3 linked regions of the Oryctolagus cuniculus genome follow. The main gene of each other region encodes a partner of the protein of the gene in region 2 in a complex. Links are inferred from orthologs where the notes say so. Each region holds a gene or a part of one and is shown on either strand. Other genes may lie near its edges. The genes, in order: PRKAB1, PRKAA2 and PRKAB2.

Region 1 (4,350 bases), on a different chromosome or scaffold from region 2:
CCGCCAGGTGATGTCTGGGACGCCAGCGGGCGGGTCCTCCAGCACAGGCGCTGTGGGAGTCACCCCTGTGAGGCCGTGAGGAGGGTTTCTCCTCCTCGTGCCCTTTCCTGGTCGCCTGCAGCCATGTCTCGGCTCCCGGCACACGCAGGCAGCGCCCGGCGTTACCTTCTGGTGAGGGGCAGCTTGCTCCAGTTGTTGAAGGACCCAGAGAGGTACACTTCCTTCCCGCCTCCCGTCCACCGGAACACCGTCGGCCGGGCCTGGGCGGGGGCTTTGTCGTTCACCTCCAGATCGTGCTGCCAGGCCAGGAACTCCTCCTTCTCGGGGGCCTGGAAGCAGAGCGGGTGTCGCGGGATAGGAGGTCAATGAGCTCCCGGCCAGTGCAGCCTGAAGAGGCGCTGCCATGACCCTGTAGTCGGCTGGCTGTGCCTCAGTTTCCCCACCAGCACCACGGAGATGAAAACATTCCTAAGGTTGTTGGGAAGACTGAGGCGGACAGTCCACGTGGAAATGTCCTGCCGAGTGACCGACAGGACGTGTGGAAGCGCCTCCTACCCAGCACTGTGTCCCTCACTAGCAGAGAGGCCACCTGTGGGGCTGGCGCAGTGGGGCACCGTGTTAGCCGCTGCCCGTGACACGGTGGATCCATGTGGCGTCCCGTACCTGAGCACTGGCTCCACTCCACAGGCCCACTGCTCTGCCTCTAGTCCAGCTCCCTGCTAATGCGCCGGGCAAGGCGGCAGAGGGTGGCCCAAGTACTCGGGCCCCTGCCACCCATCTGGCAGACCTGGATGGAGCTTCTGGCTCCTGGCTTGGGCCTGGCCCAAATCAGGCCGTTGCAGCCATTTGGGAATAAACCAGAGGACGGAAGCTCTCTCTCAGCCTTTCAGATAAAGAACTTTTCTTTTTTAAAAAGGAGCTCTGCATTAGAACTCCAGGGGAAAGTATCAGATATGCTTGGAAAACTGCTTAATAAACGTCATTTTCCTCCCTTCGTTAAACAAGACTGGAACTATGTGAACATAAGTGAGGGATCATTCCAGAACCGGTCAGTTTGAAAATCGGCAGATCCAGACTTTGAGGAAGGGAAAGACTATTCACTGGCAGGAACATTGTCCTGGTGCTGGTGAGAAGAGATACTAAATAAGACATTACGATGAAGTGTAACGTCCAGTGTAAGTGTTGTGTAACTGAAGTGTTCTGGCCTAAGAGAGACATAAACACATCCAGCTCTGGGAGAAATAAATAAAGGATGTTTAAACAAAGTTTCCTGGCCAGACGCCAAGACCTTTTCAAAGGGCAGTAGCTGGAGGAGGGGACAGGCTTTTGGGGCGTCCAGCAGGCCTTTGGCGCCTGAGCTTATCTGCAAGATGCATGTGTCTACGGAATTCTAACAAGACCTGTGGGTTAAAGAATGCCAGACCAGAACCACAGTGCAGGGAGGATGTGACGCCCACAGCCCCCACGGTGAACAGGTGTGGTTAAATCTGCTGCATGATTCCAGGCAGTTACAATGTATGCTCCCCAGATCTGCTACACAGGTGGACCGCAACACCAGCACTTCTGGCACAAAGCTATGGTGTCTTCAATAGCCTTGCTGGGGTCCCGTGTACTTCTGGGGGAAGGGACGTTAAGTCAACACGGTTCCAAAGTTCAGGTTGCAGGCAGCTTTCTGGAAATGCAACAAGTTCAGGAAACAAGGTCCAAGCACAGGATGGAGGGCCAGGTAACAGCAGATCTTCCTAGTCAGACCCCCAACTAAGATCTGAGGGTGTGAGACGGTGTCAGCACCCAGCCCAACAATGGAGGGAAAAAGTGAGTCAATCGTGTGCAGGTGCATACTAACAGGGTCCCCTTCATCCTCTCTACTCCGTCCCTTTAAGGAATGAGTTCTCAGGCGATGGACAGGATCATGGCTTTGGTGGGAGAGGAGGACCCGCTGGGCTCGTCACAAAGCAGACCGTCCCAGGGGATCCGATGCGGCCTGCCAAGAGGTGTGCTTTGGCCCGCTTCCAATACTGAATCCCAGACACAACACAAGGGCGCCCACCCACCGCCACCTCCCAGAGCCCGCGTTCCACCGCCGGACGCCGCCGGGGCCTGCGCCCGGCCGTTCTTCCTTCTGCTTCCACGTGTGCCCTGATCCACGCCCCCCCCCCACCTCCCCAAAGCGGACCGCACAGCCCCCAGACCCACTCCTACGACGGGCCGGGCTGCCTGCGGGGCACGCAGGACTTCCCGAAGCCGTGAGACTAATTACACCTGGGAGAAACGCGGCCGGCCGGGGCTCACTTCCCGCCGGCGCGACGCCCTGAATTAATTAGGAGCTGGAAACTGTCCCCCGAGCGGCCTGCGGTGCAGCGCCAAGGGAGCGGCCCCCTCCCTCGGGGCCGCGCCCCCCTGCCCGCGCCCCCCGAGCCGCGCACCTTGATCTCCTCCGAGTGGAAGAGGTCGGCGTCCTCGGGGCCGTCCATCAGGATCTTGGGCCTGTCCCCGTCCTTGGCGCCCCCCGAGCTGTCCCTGCGGGGCGTCTTGTGGCCGCCGTGCCGCTCCAGCGCGGCGCGCTCACTGCTCGTGTTGCCCATGGCGGGGGTCTGCGGGGCCACGGGGAAGCCGAGCCGGGTGGCACTCCCCACGAGTCCGGGGAAGGGTCGGGAGGTGCCTGGAGCGGGATCGCCAGGCTGCGCGAGGTTTCGCAGTCGCGCCTCCCCTGCGCCCGGACCTTACAAGCGGGAAGATTAGCCGGCACTATCCTGACAACTCCCCCAACCCCTCAGCCACTTCCGCTTCCGGCGACTCCGCCCCACAACGGGGGAGGCTGTGGCGGGCGCAGCCCGGGGCTAACTCGTCGTCACTTCCGCTTCCGGCGATGGCTGGCTTCCGTGGGCTTCAGAGCCGCGCAGTCGCAGTCGGCCGCACGGGGGGCCCGACCCAGCGTGAGGCCGTGGAGGGCCGGCAGGGGGCGCACCAGTGCACCGGCGGCCTGGGCCACTCTACCTGCGCTGGAGAGAGCGATGCCAATGGATGTACTAGGCCGCCTTCTCTGGTGCCACCCTGTACGGCTAAAGGTGCAAAAGTCTGATTAAGAAACCGCCCTTTGCTTAAAGCCCCTTGGTGCCGTGGCTGTTAACGCTTTAGGATGCATTAGACTCATTTTGCTAGAAGTTTCTTCCTTCTAGTAGCTCGAGGGCTACAAAAGAGAACTTTTATTAAATTCAGTGCGTAGGCTTTTACAGATTTATTTATTTATTTGAAAGTCAGATGGGGGGGGGCAGAGAAAGAGATCTGCCATCCGTTGGTCACTCCTCAGGTGGCCACAATGGCCAGGGCTGGGCCAGGCCAAAGCCAGGAGCCAGGGGCGTCATCCCAGTCACCCACGTGGGTGGAGGGGCCCAAGGACTTGGGCCATCCTCTGCTGCTTTTCCCAGGCCATTAGTAGGGAGCTGGGTGGGAAGTGGAGCAGCCCAGACGAGAACCGGTGCCCGCATGGGATGCCAGTATTGCAGGCAGCGTCTTTATCCTCTACTCCACAATGACGGCCCCAGTGCGTAGGTTTTTGATGAGTAATTTTGCAAAGGCATGATTAGCATTTGTCATTTACTACAGAACGTGGGTCAGCAAAGAGTATGCACGTATGACCCTTCAATATTCTAATCTCATTGCCTTATTTTTGTTTTTTGTATATTTCACACAATACCTCACCGGACCTGGTTGTGCGTTTTGTTCACTGAACATCTGTTTAGTACCTACAAAGTCCCGATGTTGTGGCAAGGAAATGGGAAACACAGATGATCAAGACGAAGTCTTCTAGAGTGGGCAGCTTCTCTCAAAATAATAATAATAAAGAAAAAAGCACCTTCGTTTTTCCGATTTTACCGCTGGGAACCCATCTACAGAAATATCACACAAGGAACTATAGCTGAGCCGGTTCATTGGCCACACCAGCTCTGAGAGCATAGTAAGTGTAAGAGGCACATTATTTTTTTTTTACATTAAACATTATTAATTTTTTTACATTCTAATCTCTTGAAATTGGATATTTCTTAGAATTGGTGCCATCTTAGATACGAAGAAATAACGAAATGACAGCCTGACCAATCTGGAACGTTTGTTAGTGGGGAAATGGCTAAGTGGATTAAACAGTCATTTTGTAGAATACTGCACCATGTTTTAAAAAGGAAAGGGATGGAAAGGGGTTACCTGGGGAGAGGGTCTGAGACAGAACAGGAGTTAGGGACATGGGCTCTGATGCCAACCTCTTGGGTTAAACATGTGGCTTTATACTTACTGTCACCTAGGCCTCTTTTGCAGTATGAGGAATAAAAATAACCCTCATCTTACAGGCTCCTG
Region 2 (3,562 bases):
AAAAAATCCAGTGACTGGCAATTATGTGAAAATGAGCTTGCAACTTTACCTGGTTGATAATAGAAGCTATCTTTTGGACTTTAAAAGCATTGATGGTAAGGAAGCTGTGCAGGTATAAACTCTTAAGAAAGTAAAACTTGGCACTAGTTGATCAGATTTTAAAATCATCTCAAAGACATGGTGGGTAAATATTGACGGGTTTTTAAGTAATCTAGACAAAATATTAAGTGAAATTATTTTTTGATATAATGGAAGATATTAAGTTGTCAATGATATGTTTTCTTCAAATGTGGGGCTATCAGTTTGATTTCAATATTAATACCACATATTTTGTCGAGAAGGATTTAGGGATCATATTTTGACCATGTGGAAGTGTTGTGATTGATTAGTGATGGATTAGGAGGAAAGAGCTATTACCACCTCTGCTCCTGAAACACTGAACATGACATTTATTACTAAGCTGCCTTTGTTCCAATATGTTTATATAATCTCCTGAATATAGCAATTTCGTAGAGGACTTGGGCAAATAGAATTTATGTATGAATTGTTCTTTTGTCCTTTCCAGATGAGGTAGTGGAACAGAGGTCTGGTTCCTCAACACCTCAGCGCTCCTGCTCTGCGGCTGGCTTACACAGGCCAAGATCAAGTTTTGATTCTACCACTGCAGAGAGTCATTCGCTTTCTGGCTCTCTCACTGGCTCTTTGACAGGAAGCACATTGTCTTCAGTTTCACCTCGCCTGGGCAGTCACACCATGGATTTTTTTGAAATGTGTGCCAGTCTGATCACTACTTTAGCACGTTGATGATCTGTCCCTGGTTTCTATCTTTCTGTTACTGCACTGTGAAAGATGAGATATATTCTTTAAATTATTATCTTACTTCTGGATGTCACATATCTGCAATACTAATTAAGAGACATGAATATTTCCAGGGGACACTCGATGCCATTGAAATTATTGAAAACAAAAATGTCTGACATTTTATTTACCTGTAGAACTCTGTAATTCTAACGTGCCTGTGATAAAATCACATAGGCAGTGTCTTTAACTATTGGACATCAATGAAGATTGTTAATTCACAGGTGTGGGTTCACTTCAGGTGATTTACTCAACTCACTGAGGAACCCTCTCAACATGAGAGGGGTTTGTCAATACCTCCCTGCTTCACTCTTTATTGTAGGTCAGTCACATTTGCTTCCTAAATTTCAGTAGGCTTTAAGCAGTGTTTATACAACCCCAGTTTTCTTGAACAAGATTTAAAACACAACCACTAGTTAGATATTATATAAATGGTGAATTCTTAAAAACTTGCCCTCCCAAATTTCAGAAGCCAAGTTTTTGCAAATATTGCCTAGTGCTCACCAGAAGGGCTGTGGTCCTGTAATAGGTAACCACGATTTCCAGGTACCTTATAAACAGTTATAGAAACCTCAGGACTTTATCTTGAGATTTCCCTAAATAATAGGTTTTAGCCTAAGAGCTTTCAGGGTTCGATTTGGTATTGGAACAAATCATCTGGAATTGCAACAATTTTTATCTTTTCTATAAACATGTCCTTTTAAAATACGCCTTCAAAACCTACTTTTCTCAAATTTGTTTTGGCTTGTTTTATGTTTTTGCACTTAACAAAGAATAATACAATAGTAGACAGTTAAATGAAACAAAGCAACGTATCAATGATCCCTTAAAAGTGAACTCTTATTTTTGATCCTTTATTTTGTATGTATGAGATGGGGATTAGGGGGAGTTAAGGAGGTGAAGGTCTTCTTGCATTTCACATTGCAAATTCTTCATTTAAAGTTTAAGTTTCTAATCGCTGTCACCTCCTTAACCCAACTAATCACCATTGTCTTTGCTCATTGTTTGATCCTCAGTGGTCCATTAACTTAGCTTTTGAGTCTTTCCCACTACCTTTCTTGGTTGCTGGCCATTCAGTTTGAAAACACCATTCTGGCCCCAAGGGCTTTTATGTACTCCCAAAACTTGAGAGGCCATGACCTTCACTGTTGAACCTGATATGGCAGAGAAGCCTTAAACATTGAGAAAAGTTCTCTCTTGAATAAATGTATGTGTTGTTTACATATATACATATATGTATTCACATACTAGTGCTTTTCAGAAAAACCAAACATTTTTTGCTGTTTTGTTTCATGCAGGTTATTTTTAAGATTAAAAAAGAAAACTATATATCAGGGTAGATAATAACTCATTTATTATATTTTGTTTTAAAAATATTTAATTTTTAAATTATGTGTAATTTATCTAAATTGTATTTATTCATTTATTGTATTTAATATGTTATAATTAACAATCTCATTCACATGACTTACTCTAAAAAATATTAAGCTCTTGAAAACGAAACAAAACAAAGTGATGACATTGCCTTGACAAATTTCTCTTTGCCAAAAATAGGATATTTTCTACCAAGAAGCAGATGTTAGAAAACGTTTCTCCCGTGCTTATCAAAGACAAGAATGTCTGTCTTGGAATGTTTTTTTAAGTTCTGAGTTTGCATTGTATCACATTGTTTTTAGGTCTCTTAAAAATGTTGTTAAGTAACTTGTAAGTTGGGCTTGTTAATGTCAAAATAAAAGGGATCCTTGTTCACCAGTCTGGGGAGCGGGATGGTCTGGAGTTTGAGATAGTACTGAAGTTTAACCTTTGAAACATTGCCATCTTGTGGCACCAGTAGGCTGTTGTTTCATTTACTGTTTTAGGTGGGTAAGTAGTCCTGTATTAGTTTGATATTCAGTCTGCTAAATGGCATCATTTTGGCTTCTCCAAATGTGTACAGGCCTCTTTTGAGAAAAACAGAACCATTCAGTCTTTGCCTGAATATGAATGGAAAGATCTTAGAAATAAGGAACTAAACAGATTCCTTTTCCCCAGTAGCAAAGTCCACAATTTTGAAGGCAGAGAAACAATGAGAAATAATCCAGTGGCATTTTAGTTTTGTTATTCTAATGAGCCAGATAATAGAAACTTATTCACATCAAATTTATATGGATGATTATCATATGTTTTGAGAGTTAAAAATTTATTAATTTTTTTCTCATTCTTACCAGAATTTGTGAACATCCACAGATTGATAATTGCTTGTTGACTTGTAGGAGACCCAAAGGGTGCAGTTTTGTTTATTCCATTTGTAAATTTTTTTAAAACAGATATTCTGTGACTCTAGATGGTTTAGTGAAATAGTTTGTAGAGAGGAGACATTAGGAGACCCTGTCTAGCTCAATAGTAGACTCTTTGTTACCTGTGAGCACAAGAAGGGAAAGAATCAATTTCTAATCTAAAATTCCTACATATCAGTCTTAGATATTGCTGAACTGTGGATGATAGATAGGTCTGAGCCAAGCACAATGTCCTGCAATCAAGACACTTCAGGAGAGCTTCTGTTATTGGGCTATAGATAAAGCTTTAGATGTGTCATGGGAATAGACTCCATGTGGTTCTAGAACAGCATGCCTCATAGTGCATCCTGTGAGATACTCTGCTGAGGAAAAGAGTTCATGATGGAGTAAGCTTGGAAAATATTACATGCTGCTCTCCTCCCTTGAGG
Region 3 (3,562 bases), about 66 Mb from region 2:
GACTCAGGCTTTCCCTTTGGCTGCCTTACAGTTGCAGACTCAACAGGTCACAAACTCATGATCCGTGACTGTTACTGAATTTTTAATATTAGCTACCATGCATTGATGGCTTTTTTTCCCATGCATTGTTACAAATCCTCTGTCCTCCTCTCATATTTATATAAATATGTTTCAGACCTTTCCAGCTCACCCCCAGGGCCTTATGGTCAAGAAATGTATGTGTTTCGATCTGAAGAGAGATTCAAATCGCCACCCATACTTCCTCCTCACCTTCTCCAAGTTATTCTTAACAAGGACACTAATATTTCTGTGAGTATCCAGAGAGCATTGCTGGAGCATGTGGGGGTCTCTAGGACCATTTGGGTCAAAAGTTATTAACCCTAGAAGTTAGGATTGTTACAAAGGGGTATTGAGGTTATAAATCATGTGTATCTCAATAGTGTTGTAGGCTCAATTCTGACTTTTTCATGTCCTGGTATAAAAGTGAATCATTGTTTGCTGGTCCTAGCAAAATCAGGACTAGAGAGTTATGTGTTGCTAGAATTTCAGGACTTCTGTTCCAACACAAGATAAAAAGTACTTATCAATTTTTTGCATATACTTTACATCATTATTCAGTGTACCTGGTTTCCACTAAGGTTATTTTTGCATGTCAACATAAATTTGCCATATGTGTTGTGAACAAGATTTTTGTTTTAGCTCTATTAAGGAAGATTAGTAGATGTTGAGGTCTAAAATTTCTACCTGGGACTGGGAATTTTCCTTAATGGCAATGTATTACTGATACGTTCTGGGGTGTGTTATTATTTAAAGGAGATAGTGTGTTCTAGCTTAGAGTTCTCAGCGGTTCCAGGGAAGAATACAGGGATAGAAGAATCAGAGGAACAGAGGACGAGTGAGGTGTTTGGGTTGTCTGCATTTAACTCCACGTAGTGATGTTTTTCTGTCTTAGTGTGACCCAGCTTTGCTCCCTGAGCCCAACCACGTTATGCTGAACCACCTCTATGCATTGTCCATTAAGGTAAGTAGTGGCCCTGGCTCTTTTTTTTTTTTTTTTTTTTCCAAAGATTTTATTTGAGAGTTAGAGTTACAGAGAGAAGTTGAGACAGGGAGAGAGGTCTTCCTTCTGCTGGTTCACTCCCTAAATGACCGAAATGGCTGGAGCTGGGCCAATCCAAAGCTAGGAGCCAGGAGCTTCTTCCGGGCCTCCCATGCAGGAGCAGAGACCCAAGGCCTTGGGCGATCTTCTAGTACTATCCCAGGCCCTAGCAGAGAGCTGGATCAGAAATGGGACAGCTGGGATTAGAACTCACGCCCACGCAGGATGCCAGTGCTGCAGGCGGAGGATGAACCTACTGCGCCACAGCGCCGGTTCCTGGCCCTGGCTCCTAATGGAGCACCTGGAAAGGAGAGGGGGAGAGCAACACATGTTTTCCAGTAGCTGCCTGCTCTGCTGCTTCCTTGAAGCTGAAGCTGGTAGTGGTGATCCAGTTATAGAAGAGCTTTCTTTCTTTCTCTTGTTTTTGTTTCTTGTTTTAAAATCTTAGTCTTTATATCTGTGTTCTTGCTAGCTGAATTGCCCTGTGATTGAATGGACGTTTTTCCTCCTGGTTTCTTTTGCCGGGGGGCTAGAACCTTTATATCAGCTACTTACTTAACATTGAGTTCGTAGCAGTAGAATTCATCTGCTGCAAAGCAGGCCTAGCTTCCAGTTCGGAGAGTGCTTGCATGATCAGGCTTCCAGTTGTCTATCTCCAAAGGCTTGCACCCCTGATACACTGGAGATGTGACCAGATCTGCCCTGTCCCCTCCGTCTCCAGAGTCCCTCTTGGTTTCTCTGCTGTTTCAGAGTCTGGGTTGAAAATGACAGTCTCTTCTGTCGTATCACTCCCTTGTGGACTGGCTCTGTGGTCCTGAGATTTGGCCAACCATCAGAATCACCTAAGGTAGTCTGTGAAGCTACAGGTTCAGGGGCTCCATCCCCAGAGCTGCTGAGTAAGTGTGTGCAGGGTGGGCCCCTGTCATTTTTAAGCTGCTTATATGTCATAGATGTGCAGCTAGATTAGGGGAGTCACCAATACAAGTGACTTTAACAAATTATGTGATAATACATGTAAAATTAAAGACATATTATTGAATTCAATTTTTATAATAAGCTTGTGGGGTAAATAGTATTTTTAACCCCTGTTTTATAGACACAGAAACTAAAGCTCTGAAAGTCACATTACCAGTAGGTACCAGAGACCAGACTGAGGTCATGTTCTTTCCTGTAGATCACTGTTCCTGATCTTCTCACTCGTTCCTCATGTCTGCAAAACCTTTCCTGGAGTTGCATTTTTCACCTGCCTTGCTTCTGTCAGGTTTAGGCTGTGTCATACTCTGGTCCCAGAATGTTAACCTACGAAACATTCTGTAGATAGTACAGTAGAGGGGAAGGTAGGAGGATACACTGGATTCGCCATCGTATCTGCGTGGATTCTTTGGGACCTGATTGAATTTTACCTGCTGCAACCACTCCTTGGCTGTCAGTTGATGTCCACAGGTCTGTCATCTCCTCCTAGGGTGTGCTCAGTATGTGAGGTCTGTCCCACAGCCTGGGCGGTGGGCCCTCCTGCTTGCTTCTGACTGGTTCTCATGCAGGTGTAGTGCTTGGTGACTGCTGTTCAGCCTGGCCCTGACTGACCAGAGTCCACTCAGCTTGTTGCGGCTGATTGGACTGACTTGATTGGACTGAGGAGGATTTGGGCATCCACTGTCTTTGAGGAAAGTGGTAATTCCTGAGTTCCTTCTAGATCAAGGAGCACTTTTTGAGTTCATCCTTGACAGTAAATGTAAATGAGACCTGCGCTGGGGAGCGAGAGTGGCTTTCAGAAGGATCATTTCCCTTTCTTCTCATTGAATCGAAGTCCTCCTCCTCCTAGAAATGGATGCAAAAAGTTGTTCCTTTTCTTCTTTGGTAGTTTTAAGGCCAATATTCAAATTTGTGGCAAGGAAGGGAGTGAAATCGAGTGATATTTCTTCAGCACCTTAAGTGTATCAGATAATCTCATGTAATCATGAGAGCTGCCTGAGTGGTAGGTGCTACGTACCTGAGACTTAGAGACTTAGAGACGCTAGGTAGTTTACTCAAGGCTACACTACCAGTACAATGACGGTAGGAGTCAAGAATGAGGCTGAAGCTGATTTGGCTCCAAGACCAACCTCTTTCTTTTATAGTAAGTTATCTCCGCCGAAAGTGAGCGACTGTGAAGGACTGATGGCTGGGGAGAGCTGCCCACCATATAACTCATGACTTAGCGTTCTTTCTCTTGCAGGACAGCGTCATGGTTCTTAGTGCAACGCATCGCTACAAGAAGAAGTATGTCACCACTCTGCTGTACAAGCCCATCTGAAAGCAGCCTCCTCTGCCTCCGAGGATTCAGGAAAAGTATCTTTTTTGCCTTTCTGGACTGCACCGGTCTCATGTGAGACTGGGAGGCTGATTTGCTTTGAGGCCGATGTGTGTGTTTCAGAGCCTCTGAGTAGGATGCTCTGCTTTGGCATTCGATCGCGGATGAGAGCT

The links.
Region 1: the proteins of PRKAA2 (region 2) and PRKAB1 are in contact, whole or in part, in a crystal structure (PDB 8BIK), measured with the Homo sapiens proteins. The link is inferred for Oryctolagus cuniculus from reciprocal best matches to the Homo sapiens genes PRKAA2 and PRKAB1. Residues at the interface, in NP_006243.2 of Homo sapiens: Gly9, Val11, Lys12, Ile13, Thr21, Lys29, Lys31, Asn48, Arg49, Arg53, Asp56, Val58, Ile61, Lys62, Ile65, Gln66, Lys69, Val82, Ile83, Ser84, Thr85, Pro86, Thr87, Asp88, Phe89, Phe90, Met134, Met164, Ser165, Asp166; in NP_006244.2 of Homo sapiens: Pro79, Thr80, Val81, Arg83, Thr106, Ser108, Asn111, Val113, Ile115, Gln154, Val155, Asp159, Phe160, Glu161, Val162, Phe163, Ala165, Leu166, Asp169, Ser170, Lys172, Cys173, Pro186, Tyr187, His188, Gln189, Glu190, Pro191, Tyr192, Ala202.
Region 3: the proteins of PRKAA2 (region 2) and PRKAB2 are in contact, whole or in part, in a crystal structure (PDB 6B2E), measured with the Homo sapiens proteins. The link is inferred for Oryctolagus cuniculus from reciprocal best matches to the Homo sapiens genes PRKAA2 and PRKAB2. Residues at the interface, in NP_006243.2 of Homo sapiens: Gly9, Arg10, Val11, Lys12, Ile13, Thr21, Asn48, Arg49, Val58, Gln66, Gln81, Val82, Ile83, Ser84, Thr85, Pro86, Thr87, Asp88, Phe89, Met134, Met164, Ser165, Asp166, Gly167, Glu168, Phe169, Leu189, Ala191, Glu194, Pro253; in NP_005390.1 of Homo sapiens: Val60, Ser61, Gln64, Glu67, Asp68, Ser69, Thr73, Gln74, Ala76, Pro78, Thr79, Val80, Ile81, Arg82, Ile106, Ser108, Val113, Ile115, Val155, Ser158, Asp159, Phe160, Glu161, Phe163, Asp164, Lys167, Leu168, Gln191, Met193, Tyr194.

The regions. Positions count from the first base shown.
Region 1 is NC_091452.1:15,724,078-15,728,427, reverse strand, and holds the start of PRKAB1 (5'-AMP-activated protein kinase subunit beta-1), read right to left. Parts: upstream 2,832-4,350; 5' UTR 2,586-2,831; coding exon 2,427-2,585; intron 330-2,426; coding exon 166-329; intron 1-165. UniProt on the Homo sapiens protein: Non-catalytic subunit of AMP-activated protein kinase (AMPK), an energy sensor protein kinase that plays a key role in regulating cellular energy metabolism.
Region 2 is NC_091438.1:116,460,539-116,464,100, reverse strand, and holds part of PRKAA2 (5'-AMP-activated protein kinase catalytic subunit alpha-2), read left to right. Parts: coding exon 1-95; intron 96-565; coding exon 566-804; 3' UTR 805-3,562. UniProt on the Homo sapiens protein: Catalytic subunit of AMP-activated protein kinase (AMPK), an energy sensor protein kinase that plays a key role in regulating cellular energy metabolism.
Region 3 is NC_091438.1:50,126,603-50,130,164, forward strand, and holds part of PRKAB2 (5'-AMP-activated protein kinase subunit beta-2), read left to right. Parts: intron 1-175; coding exon 176-309; intron 310-952; coding exon 953-1,021; intron 1,022-3,314; coding exon 3,315-3,392; 3' UTR 3,393-3,562. UniProt on the Homo sapiens protein: Non-catalytic subunit of AMP-activated protein kinase (AMPK), an energy sensor protein kinase that plays a key role in regulating cellular energy metabolism.